Linked DNA regions of Canis lupus familiaris. The main gene of each other region encodes a partner of the protein of the gene in region 3 in a complex. Links are inferred from orthologs where the notes say so. Each region holds a gene or a part of one and is shown on either strand. Other genes may lie near its edges. The genes, in order: AP2A2, STON2 and EPS15.

Region 1 (4,200 bases), on a different chromosome or scaffold from region 3:
TACGAAACTGTTTCCAAGCACTTCATACTCATAAAGGTGGCCTGTCCCTTGCAGAGGAGTGGCCGTGATTGGGTAGGGCTGAGTGGACTCAGGTCCGAGATCTCATGGTAATAATGATCTGAGAGCTGTGTGTCTGGCAAGGTCTGGGAGCTGGGGGACAGTGTGGGGTCTTTTTCATGACCCCCTCCCCAAAGACGTACTTTGGGGAATGTCAGGAGGCTTGGGAGGCCCAGAATCTCTGAAAGCGGGTAGGATGTCTGCGCAACTCCAAGCCTCCCTCAGAGAAGCCTTCCACCTCTGCCTGAGCTGGCAGTCTGTCCATGCCCCACGTAGGTCCCTGCAACCTCTGGGCATCGTCCTGTTCCATGAGTGGCTGCCGTGAGTGGGTCAGGGTCTGCTTGTCTGAGTCCCCTGGCTTGGCCATGGGAGGGTTATCTCCAGGTGCCAGGATGTGTTCCCTGTGGATCTCCCCTCCTCCAGGAAGCCCTCTCCAGGCCCAGCTCTTCAGAAGGTCTTGGAGGCTGGTGAAATTGCTTCCTTATAAGGATTCCAGCGTCCAGGGTTCCGGTTTCCCCCAGGGGGTCCTGCAGGCCCAGAGCCTGGGTGGGGCGCCTCGTCTGTGGCAGGGGCCCCACCCCTTCCTCCTCCCGGCCAGGGTCTAGCCAGCCCTGACTTTTCCCTGGGAACTGAGGAAGTGAGCCAGGGAGGGACAGACCTCTTTTGTGGGTGGGGGCCTGCACCAGGTTCTGGGGCCCAGACAACCCCCCTCTCCCCCTAAGGAGAAAGCTTCCTTTTCGAAGCCATTTGGCTTCACAAAGGGAGCTCAACAGGGCCACCTGCTGTCCACACAGACTGGGGGGTGGAAGGGTGGGGGAGTGTGGGGTGGGTGGTCCAGGCTCCAGGCCTCTGTTGACCACAGGGACGGTCCTCCGTGTTCACGTCTGGGGCAAGAGGAGGTGGTGGGTGGTGGCAGATGGCACAGGGCTCTGGCCGGGCCTGGAGGGCTTTAGGTCTAGACCGGCCCGCGGTCCGAGGGTGCGGTGCGGGGAGGGGGTGGGGGTGGGCAGTCCTTCGTGTTCAGGCCTCAGGAAGGGGCTGGTGGCCCTGGGCAGCGGTGACGTGCACGTAAGGCCCTCGGGGCTCCGGACGCAGACCAGTAAGCTGCCCCAGAGCCTGGGTTGGACAGGGTCGTGGGGGGCGGATGGGGAGCCTCGGACACGAACCCCGTGCTCCCGCCTGCAGGGGGCGCCCCCGCACCTGCCTCGACGCGCTCGTCCCCGCTCCGCCCGCAGCCGCGCGCGCGTGCGCGCGCGTGCACGCGGCGATCCGCGGGCGAGCGTGCGCGCGCACGCGAGACGAGCGTGCGTGCGTGCGCGCGCGCGGCGGCCCTGAAAGCGGCTCTCGGAGCCTTAGGCGGCTCCGGCTGAGGCGGCTCCTGAGGCGGCGGCGACCCGCTCCCGGCTCCCCGCTCTCGGCTCCTCCTCCCGGCCCGCCAGCCCAGGCCGCTCCCCGGGCCCGAAGATGCCGGCCGTGTCCAAGGGGGACGGGATGCGGGGCCTGGCGGTCTTCATCTCCGACATCCGCAACTGTGAGTGGCGGCGGCGCGGGACCCGGCCTGCGAGGGGCGCGGGGGCGAGGGGCGAGGGGCGCGGGGGCGCGGGGGCCGGTGCAGACCCCGAGGGCGCGGGGCAGGGGGCGCGGGGCGGGGTCCCGGAGCCGACGGGGGGCGCGGGGGCAGGGGGCGCGGGGGCCGGTGCAGACCCCGAGGGCGCGGGGGCCGGGGGCGCGGGGGCCGGTGCAGACCCCGAGGGCGCGGGGCAGGGGGCGCGGGGCGGGGTCCCGGAGCCGACCGGGGGCGCGGGGGCAGGGGGCGCGGGGGCGCGGGGGCCGGTGCAGACCCTGGGGGCAGGGGGCGCGGGGGCGCGGGGGCGCGGGGACGCGGGGCGGGGTCCGGGTGCCGACCCGGAGGGCAGGCGTCGGTGGGGGGGCGGGACGGGGTCCAGTGTGGACATGGAGGGCGGGGGGTCCGGGGGCGTAGGGTCGGGGTGCAGGGCGGGGGTCTGGGGGTCTGGGTGCGGGCCCAGAGGGCAGAGGTCGGGGGCGCGGGCCTGGGGTGCGAGGGACCTACAGGGCCGCCGAGGAGGGCGCAGGCCTGTGGGAGGCAGAGTCGGGGGCTGGGCCTGGGGCCTGCGGGTCAGGGAACAGTGAGCAGGGGTGCGGGGTGCAGGGCAGGTGGGGTTCTCCAGTCGTGGGGGGGCTGTGGCGTCTTCGACAGGGTTCTGGTGAAGACCCCCCCCCCCCCCCAGCATGATGTCATCTGGAGCAGTCTGCTCATCTTTCTAGTAATGGAGCATTTAACCCAGCGTGTTCCAAAATAGCGTGGATTTTCAGTTTGGGAGTGGGGGCAGCGAAAGCTGCCTTGCCTGGGAGGCAGCTCCGCCCGGGTCCTGGTGGCTTATTAGGCCCTGATGAAATGACTCACTCCCCCCAGGAGTGCAGACACAGGGCAGTGGAGGGTGGGGTGGCTTTCGGGTGGCTGCCCTGGCTGCTGGCCCCTTCTTCGGGACACTCGCGTCCCCTCACAGTGGAAGAAATCCACACCAGAAGCGAAACAAGCCAGGAGGCAGGTGGGGGCTTCCGTCTGTAGAGAAGCTACAGCCTTCGGAGATCTCTCCTTTATTTAATTAAAGAAATTAAAGGCAAAACCAGTTTTCCTATCTGTTGCATCTTATTATTATTTTTTTATTACCTGCCAGATAGTTGATTTTTATTGCCTTAGGGTTAATGTATGTTTTGAAGAGAGTCTGTAACCTCACTTGCTGGTAGATGCTGTTGTGTTGAGCCTTGCCTTGAAGCCCTCACCTCCTTAGACGGGGGCACCCAGATGCCAGCCTGCTTCTCCCCCAGAGAAGCTCTGATCTTCTGTCCCTCCCCTTCCTGTGCGAGAAATCGAGAAATCGGAGTGGTAGCACACTCAGATCGGAGTATTTACAAGTAGGCAATATTTTTCTTTTCCTTCCTGTGCTATTTAATGTGATTTCAGCTTTTGTAAAGCTGAGTGTGTGTGCGCTATCACTGCAGGGGGACCCTTGGCTAAAGGCTTAGCAGCCTTAAATTAGGAGTGATGTCAGTTCTTCCATTTTGGAAGAAGAATGCAGTGGGCAAGAAAGACATTGAGATTGAAACCCATTTTCTTGACAGCCGGTCACCTGCATATTAGACATGTATTCTGTGCTAGGTCTGCAGTTGAGTGGAAGGTAACTGCCTGCCATATGGGAGGACTCGGCAGATACTTGTTGACTGACCTTAGAGCAGACTTTCTCCACCCCCCACACTGCTGAGATTGGGTTATTTCTTGTGCAGAGCTGTCCAGTGGTGTTGGACAGCAGCATCCCTGGTCTCCATACAACGAGGTGCCTCCATTGTGACAACCAGCGGTGTGTTCAGACGTTGCCCTACGGGGCAGAGTTTTCTCTGGTTGAGGGCCTACTGATATAGACCAATGAATAGGATAGTCTCTTCCCCAAAGGAGCTTAAGGAGGAAGGGCTGCCTCATTTTTCTTGGGGCCAGGTCTCTGTTTACTACAGTCCCTTCCTCAGGACCACCTTTCCCACCTCATGCTGCCCTTGGTCTTTGTTTTGTCATAGTGCCGCACTTCTAGAGCGGTGTCATGGGTCTGTGGTGCTGTGCCCTCCCCTTCACTATGAACCCCACAAGGTAGGCACCACATCTGTCTTGCTTGTCATGTCTTTCCGCTGCTTGCACAGCATCTGGCATGAGACACGAGCCTAGTAAATGAATAGATGAGTGAGCCAGAAAGGATTTAGCTTCAAGATGATTCTCATGCCCATTTTGTCTAAAGAGCACTGCAGGTCGAGGGCCAAGATGTGATGGAGCAGCAGGGAATGAACGTTCTGAGCATGTGTAGGCTGGCTGTGGCTGGGGATAGGGTCAGAAAGCTAACCCTGGCCGGATGGATGACCAGAGCCATCTGAGCTTAACCCCCTGGGGCAGGGAGCTGGCTCCAGCTTCCCCTTTTCCCACCTCAGATTTTGTGTGCTCATTGGTTTCTTGTGAATGTGATGGATGTGGCCAGGCTCTGTGGAGAGACCCAGCTGCCTCTCACCTGCTCCATGACCTGAAGCCAGTGGCTGCTGAGCCTTAGGTTTCTTCAGCTGATGGAGAGGAGTGGATTTTGA
Region 2 (3,998 bases), on a different chromosome or scaffold from region 3:
TTCTACTCAGCCATGCCTCACTGTCTGCAATTCAAAACAAACCATTCCCCATACCACTGACACTGGGTTGGGCTATGTGACTTACCTTGGCCAATGGCATAAGAATTGAAGTAATCTGCTACTTCTGAGCAGGTATTAAATGCCACATTTTTGTTTTATCATGTTCTCTTTTTTCCCATTCCCATAAATGAGATCGGTATTGTCCCAGAAAGAGGCTGTTTCTTAAGCCTCTGGGAGACTCAGAATGAAAAGAGATAAGGAGCAGAACCACTGACCTGCACTGGACATACAGCATAAGTGAGAAATAAACCTTGTAAGCCATTGAGATACGGGGGTTGTTATTTTGCCTAAGCTGATCATTACAGCACACTTGGTCTCCCATTGCCTCTCTGTCTGGAATGTCTCTCTCCTCTGCTCTTTCCTTCCAATCCTACCTCAATCCTATCTTCATAAGAAACTTGCTTATCATTCTATATTCAGCTCAGGTGTTATCCTCTCAATCAAGTCTTTTTTTGTTCCTAGGTATAACAGATCGACTCCCACCTGCAGGATCCCCTTTGGATGCTACAGGCCTGTAACTATGTCCTTGGAACTTTGCTGGGGACTTTCCATTCATTAGTACTATCCTTAGAACAACTCCTCTCAAAAAAAAAGGAAAAGAAAAAAAACTGAGCCCTCATTTTACAGAGTGAGAGACTTTGGCTCAGAAAAGCAAGGCAACTTGTCCAGGTTTCCTAATCATGGGCCACAGAAACAGAGTTTTCACAGAGTGTGGGTCTGGCTCTGAGCTCAGCAATCCTTCCTGTGCCCCACACACCCCCCTCACTCCTCCATCAGCAAGCTTTCAGATCCTCCCATTCTGAGCCAGTAAAAGTCTCCCTATCAACAACTTAAAAGGATGTGGAATTAATTTGACACTTGAAAGACTTGCATCTGGAAGTGGGCTTCTTACCCCCTGAGAAGATAATCACTTTCTCTAAGTGGATGGATTTATTCGAAGGCTCCTGGCAAATGTGCATTTTGTACCTTTCCCAGGTAGTGTGGTGTGATAAGACAGGCAGAGTCCCACTGACACTGCCCTATGGAACATTTGGATGGGTCCTTTCAGGTTTGTCATAAAGTAGGATGCTAAGTTCAGAATTCCAAGGAAGTCAGCCACACATTGATATTTTAGGTAAACGAACAAGAAAAGCGTAGAAAAGTGACATAGTGGCAAAGAACTGAAGTAGACCACCCAAGTCAGACACTGGAATTACTGCCTAACATGAGAACTACAATTTTAGGTTTCTAAGAGCTGCTGGCATTTTGTCGTGTGGTTGGGTTTTTTATTTGTTTTTCTCCTCCTTCCCTTCTCTTTAAACTCTTTTAACCGAGGACTGGAAAGTAGAAGAACCTTCAAGTCCTCCCCCATCAGTCATACCAATCAAAGATGAGCATTCAACAAAGTTACCAAGATATTCTCCTCATGCAACATTCATAACAATCCAAAACAAAATTTTTCAAGCTTTACAACGCTTTTCTCGGTTACTAATTGGAGTCCATTTATCTCTTCCACCGTTCCAACAGGTTTTTTTTTTTTTTTAATCCCTCAAAGGATGGATCCTTTAAAGGTAACATTAATGATTGCATTTTTCCCCTGTGAGTTCAGAGCTCCAAATGGTCACCGGGCCAGTTAGGATACATCTGATGTAAGAGCCAGCAGTTACTGGGTACTTAGCTTTGTGTTGGATGTCCCTCCCCCCTCCCCCACCCCCCACACCCCTGTCCCCCGCAGTGGTTTATTTAATCCTCAAAACAAGGCTATGGAGCAAATGCAATCATCTATCTGCACCTTTTACAGATTAGTAGAGTGAGGCACATGGAGCATGAAGGACCTGCCTGAGAGAGAGAGTCTGTCCCTTACAGAGGCCAGGAGCTGCTGCACAAGACGATGGTTAATGATTCACCCACAGCCCTCAGGGAGCTCCTTTCAGCAGGGGCAACAGATGCACTTACACATTCTCTCTCTCTCTCTTTCTCTCTTTCATCTTCAACTCTTCTTTACCCAGCAAGAGGCGGGTGTCCAACAAATTGCTTGGCAACGCGCGGAGGAAACTCCATCCAAAGCCCGGGTCTGCCGGGTCCAGCCGCCTCTGGGCGCTGTCCAGCGGGCAGAGCGCCTGAGAGGCCAGGCAGGGGTCCTGTCTCCGGACACCCCGAAGGTGAGGCGCAACGCCAGGGCCGGGATTTCGCGCGGGGAGGGCTGGAAGGGGGGAGGGGGAAGGCACTGTCCCCGGGGACACCTGTTGCCGCCTCCCCACTCGGGCCGATAGAGATGCCGCGGGGACTCACACCTCCGAGAAGACACCCGTCGGCAAACAGCGTCCGCGTGTGGGTGAGGGAGTCGCAGGTGTCTTCCCCGACGACCCCCCCACCTCGCCCGCCTCGGCCGGGCTCACTTCACCCCCTCCCGCCCCTGCACGCCAGCGGCTGGTGGAAATGTCGCGCCCCCCCCACCCCCGGGCTCCGACCGAGGCACGCGCGGAGGGGTGGGGGCCCGCGGGGCGAGGGGCGGCACCCGCGGCGCTAGGACCCCGCGGCGGCCCGCCCCCGCCCCCGCCCCCGCCCGCTCCACCTGCGGGGCCCCACCGGCGGGGCACGCTCGCCCGCTAGCGCGGAGCGCGGGCGCCGTTACCTGCGACACCGCCTGCACCGTCCGGAGGGCCGCCGCGGGAGAGCAGCCGGGCCGGCCCGGGGAGCGATCCTCGGCGGGCCCCGCCGCTCCCGCTGCCCTCCCTCGCGCCGCAGCGCCGCCGCCTGCTCCCGGCTCTCTAGGCTCGCTCCGCGCCCGCCGGCTCCCGGCGCCGCTCCCGCCGCCCCTGATTGGCCGCCGCGCGCGCCCGAGCCGCGCCCTGATTGGACGGCCGGGAGCCGGGGCGGGGAGATGGGCGGGGCGCCGCCTGGACCCGCTCCCGGTGCCCGCGGCGCCGTAGCCCCGCGTCCCGGCTGCACCGCCCCGCGGAGACCCAGGCGCCGAGCCGGGCCCCTGCCGCCCCGCGCCGAGCAGTAGCGCGAGGAGCCTGCGGGTGGCGGAGAGTGGGGATCGCCTTGGGACCCCTCCCATACCCCATACCGGGGCTGGCGGGGTTAGGGGCGGGGGGGGGGGGTCCTTGCTCCTCGGGCCTCACTCCTACGTGGGATTTTGACTTCGTGTTCATTTTTATGCTTTTTGCTGTAAAAGAAAAAAAAAAGGCGTAGGACAGTGGCTTGTAAACAGCGGGCGCCAAATTGTGTGTGTGGACGCACGATCTATCTCCAGGTGGTCCAGCCAGACTCAGCAAAAGAAGGAAGCAACTTGTGCGAGGTCCTAATCGCATTAAATTAAGGAGAAGCGAGAAAGATGGTGAGTCAGATCTTCCTTTACAAGGACCTTAATACCCACCTAGGGAGATAAGGCTGAATAATAAAGCTGATAGTAATAATAATAATAATAATAATAATAATAGTCATCCTAACTTTTCCCATGGCACATATTATTTGCCTAGCACTTTCCTAAATGCTTTGCATCTATTAACACAGAAAAACAGGAAACAGCCGACCTAGGGATGTCCCATGTCCTGTGAAACGTGTGGCCAAGTGCCGTCGGTCTGGAGTGTGAGACATTTGCATCTTGGAAGACACACCAGCAGTCATTCCACGCTGCAGTTAAGAGGCACAAGTTAGAATGGAGAGAGAGCATCGGGAATTAAAATTGTTCTCCTCTTCCGTTTCTTCTCCCGTAGTTCTTTACCTCCCAACACTTTGTCTCACCTGAACTGGGGCTTTCTAAAGAATAAGAACAACCAGTCTCAATCAGGGTGCTGCCAGAACTTTGTTTTACCACCCATAAAAGGAGCCCCCTCTAAGCATCCGTAGGCCACAGTGAGTAGAAACAAGTAGCACAGTTTATATTTTAGCACCTTTGACGTTGGTTGCATGGGTGCCTTGAAACAAATATGTAACCACTGTCCCACAAGTAC
Region 3 (3,523 bases):
TTATATTGCTAGAGGCTAAGGTTGTCAAATATATTAAAAAACAAATGAGTCAACAAGCAATCCAACTAAAATGTGGGCAGAAGACGTGAACAGACATTTTTCAGAAAAAGCATACAGATGGCCAACAGACACATGAAAAGATGGTCAACGTTACATATCAGGGAACGGCAAATCCCAAACTACAATGAGATATCACCTCACAACTCTCAGAATAGTTAAAACTAAAAACTCAAGAAATAACAAGTATTGGTGAGTTTGTGGGGAAAAAGGAACCCTCGTGCACTTGTGGGAATGCAAACTGGTGTGGCCAGTCTGGAAAACAGAATGGAGTTTCCTCAGAAAGTTAAAAATAGAACTGTTCTAGGATCCAGCAATTTCACTATTGGATATTTACCCAAAGAATACAAAAATACTAAGGGATACACACACCCAATGTTTATGGCAGCATTATTTATAATAGCCAGGGATCCCTGGGTGGCGCAGCGGTTTAGCGCCTGCCTTTGGCCCAGGGCGCGATCCTGGAGACCCGGGATCGAATCCCACGTCGGGCTCCCAGTGCATGGAGCCTGCTTCTCCCTCTGCCTGTGTCTCTGCCTCTCTCTCTCTCTCTCTCTGTGTGTGTGTGTGTGTGTGTGTGTGTGAGAGAGAGACTATCATAAATAAATAAAATAAAATAAAATAAAATAAAATAAAATAAAATAAAATAAAATAAAAATTTATAATAGCCAAATTATGGAAGCAACCGTAGTAAGTGTCCATCAATAGAAGAACAAAGAAAGATAAACGATGGGTGTATATACATATATATACACACACACACAGTTGTATATATATATACATATATGTATGTATATATACACACACCGTGGAATATAAATAAAAAGAGTGAGATCTTGCCATTTACAATAACATGGATAGATCTAGAGAGTATAATGCTAAGTGAAATAAGTCAGAGAAAGGTGAATACCATATGATTTCACTCATGTGGAATTTAAGAAACAAAACAAATGGATAAAGGGGAAAAAAATAGACAAACTGACCATAGAAAACAGAATGGTGGTTACCAGAAGGGACGTGGGTGGGGAGATGGATGAAATAGGTGAAGAGTATTAAGAGTACACTTATGATAAGTAATGTACAGAATTGTTGAATCACTATATTGCACCTCAGGAACTAATATAACACTGTATGTTAACTGTACTGGAATTAATTTTTTTTAAAAAAACAAGAAAAAAGTGAGTCAATTTGCTCATTTAAGTTTTATACCTGTAGGATGGCAATAGCAAAGTTATTTTTTAAATCCTAAGTAAAATAGTATACTACTGTATTAAATAGATCTAAGGATCTTCAGCAAAGTAAGCATGTATCACTATCGAAGTATCAAGGCAAAAAGGATGGTTTGTTGGAGAGAGCAGTGGACTGGGAGCTTAAAGATCTGGGTGCTAATTCTGGATGTCCTCAGACTAGCTCTGTGATCTTCAGTGTGTAATTTCGTATGCCTGAGCCTCAGCTGTCTGAGCTGTTAGATGGTGGCAGTAACTAATTTGCCTACCTTCCCAGGAATGTTGGAAGGATCTAGTAAGATATGAGATATGAACATCTTTTGTAAGATGTTATACTCATGGAAAGACTCTGTTATGATTGCTATTACCAGTTTAACACATTTTAGGAGAAGTACATATTTGAAAATATTTTAACACCCGTAATTATAATTTTCCTTCAAGTAAGTTTAAGACTTTAAAATTGGAGAACTTGTTTCAAAATGAGTTCAGCAACAGTACTGTTGTTTGGTCAAAGATTAGTTTATCCACAACCACAAAGATTTAGGCCCCGAGCTTCAAAACATTCTCTATTCTTCAATTTGAAATATTGTAGATGGCAAAAAAGTAAGTGAGGTTTTCCAAGATAAGTTTTCATTGTGTTCCCAGGTGTCACATGTAGATCCCGTAAAAGCAGTAACCCAGAGATTTTTCTGAGAAAAATCAGAAGAATATGGTCATTTTTCAAAGGTCATTTGTTCCTATTGCCTCTAGTAGTTAGTTGTTATCAGGCTGAGATTACAACAGCAGAGGCCATTTCTGTCTTTCTGTCATCCTCATCCTGTTTCATCCTTTCCTCTCTCTCTCTCTTTGAGAACATGCTGCTTTGGGGAAGACAAGGTTTACACTCTGGGTATAAATATGATTCCTGGCCCGTTCCATTCCCTTTTGCTATTTTTTCATTTAGCTACATAGAGCTGCAATGTATTTGAGAGATTATGTGAAAAATTTGAGGACAGACCATTTGTGTAGTCATTTAAGACCATACTTTAAGAACGTACTTTTAGGCCCTTACCTCCATTCCCCCACTCCCAGTTCTTTAATTCTCTGCGTGTTCATGGTCTTGTGTGTTTGTTTGCCATATTTGCTTGTTAATTGTAATGATTTTGATCCAGGGAAAAGACCCATCAACAAATTGGATTCTTCTGATCCTTTTAAACTGAATGATCCATTTCAGCCTTTCCCAGACAATGATAGCCCCAAAGAAAAAGATCCTGATATGTTTTGCGATTCATTCACTTCTACTACTACTACTACTACCACTACCAATAAAGAGGCTGACCCAAGCAATTTTGCTAACTTCAGTGCTGTAAGTACTGTGAATGGGCTGTTTGGGGGAAAAATCTTTCCATTTACAGTTTAAAGAGTTTTCAGTGATTACTTTGGAGTCTGCCAAATTTGCATCATTTTAACTAAATTTACCAACATACTAAAAATGATCTATATTCCTCCCCCAACCAAAATTTCTGTTTGATTCTGTTTTGAGGATTCTAACATTGTTCCATTGCACAAAGGGTTTTAGTAGTCTTAGTCTTTGTTGATGTATACCACTTGTTTTGCAAACCCTCCCTTTAGTCTTAGTAAACAATATAAATAAAATCTTGACAGTTACTGTTTTGCAAATTGTTATGGATAATGGACCATTAGAGAATCATTTGCTGTCTGCCCACTGGATAAATAATGGCAATAATGAGCTTGTGTATTTGTAACTGTGTATGTGTGTTTGTGTATAAAGTTTTGACGATTTCTAGAGACCTGCCAGCAACTATTATTATATGAGAGGATAAAGCCAGGGATTCTTTGAAAAGCGAAACTCTGGTTTTTATATAGTAGTGTTTTTAAGATATAAATGTCGATTTTATGAAATAAATACAGTTGTCAAGAGCTAAACAGTCTTTATTTGGACAGTTCTAATTCATTAACCTTCCGTATTTACTCTGCATTCTTCCAGAGGCACACCAGTAGAAACAATGGAAAGGTGCTGGGATAACACATAGATAGGGCCAAAAGATCACAGAAATGGGGCAACCAACTATGGAGGTGTCGCTCTAGAGAGACTTAAAGCAGTGATATATATAGTCCATCGTTCAGATAAAAATGAGGCTGGCTTGCTTTATTTATTTGTTTGTTTGTTTGTTTATTTTTCCAACTTTTGAGTCCATACTGTAAGTTCCATTGGCAGCTTCTGAATGTGCAGAGTAGAA

The links.
Region 1: the proteins of EPS15 (region 3) and AP2A2 are in contact, whole or in part, in a crystal structure (PDB 1KYU), measured with the Mus musculus proteins. The link is inferred for Canis lupus familiaris from reciprocal best matches to the Homo sapiens genes EPS15 and AP2A2. Residues at the interface, in NP_031969.1 of Mus musculus: Asp629, Pro630, Phe631, Lys632; in XP_006536218.1 of Mus musculus: Phe442, Phe443, Trp446, Lys447, Asp487, Pro488, Val494, Arg511.
Region 2: the proteins of EPS15 (region 3) and STON2 are in contact, whole or in part, in an NMR structure (PDB 2JXC), measured with the Homo sapiens proteins. The link is inferred for Canis lupus familiaris from reciprocal best matches to the Homo sapiens genes EPS15 and STON2. Residues at the interface, in NP_001972.1 of Homo sapiens: Leu139, Gly148, Lys152, Pro153, Val154, Leu155, Leu156, Asn157, Ser158, Lys159, Val162, Asp163, Leu165, Gly166, Arg167, Trp169, Glu170, His176, Gly178, Met189, Val192, Tyr193, Leu196, Glu197, Lys198; in NP_001353779.1 of Homo sapiens: Trp309, Arg310, Ala311, Thr312, Asn313, Pro314, Phe315, Glu318, Gln321, Asp322, Gln324, Pro325, Ser326, Ile328, Asn329, Pro330, Phe331, Phe334, Phe335, Glu337, Gln338, Glu339, Arg340.

Annotation. Positions count from the first base shown.
Region 1 is NC_049239.1:45,693,621-45,697,820, forward strand, and holds the start of AP2A2 (AP-2 complex subunit alpha-2), read left to right. Parts: upstream 1-1,379; 5' UTR 1,380-1,521; coding exon 1,522-1,588; intron 1,589-4,200. UniProt on the Homo sapiens protein: Component of the adaptor protein complex 2 (AP-2). Adaptor protein complexes function in protein transport via transport vesicles in different membrane traffic pathways.
Region 2 is NC_049229.1:54,040,722-54,044,719, forward strand, and holds the start of STON2 (stonin-2), read right to left. Parts: upstream 2,803-3,998; 5' UTR 2,675-2,802; intron 2,202-2,674; exon of another isoform or gene 1,985-2,201; intron 1-1,984. UniProt on the Homo sapiens protein: Adapter protein involved in endocytic machinery. Involved in the synaptic vesicle recycling. May facilitate clathrin-coated vesicle uncoating.
Region 3 is NC_049236.1:9,930,975-9,934,497, forward strand, and holds part of EPS15 (epidermal growth factor receptor substrate 15), read left to right. Parts: intron 1-2,434; coding exon 2,435-2,628; intron 2,629-3,523. UniProt on the Homo sapiens protein: Involved in cell growth regulation. May be involved in the regulation of mitogenic signals and control of cell proliferation. Involved in the internalization of ligand-inducible receptors of the receptor tyrosine kinase (RTK) type, in particular EGFR.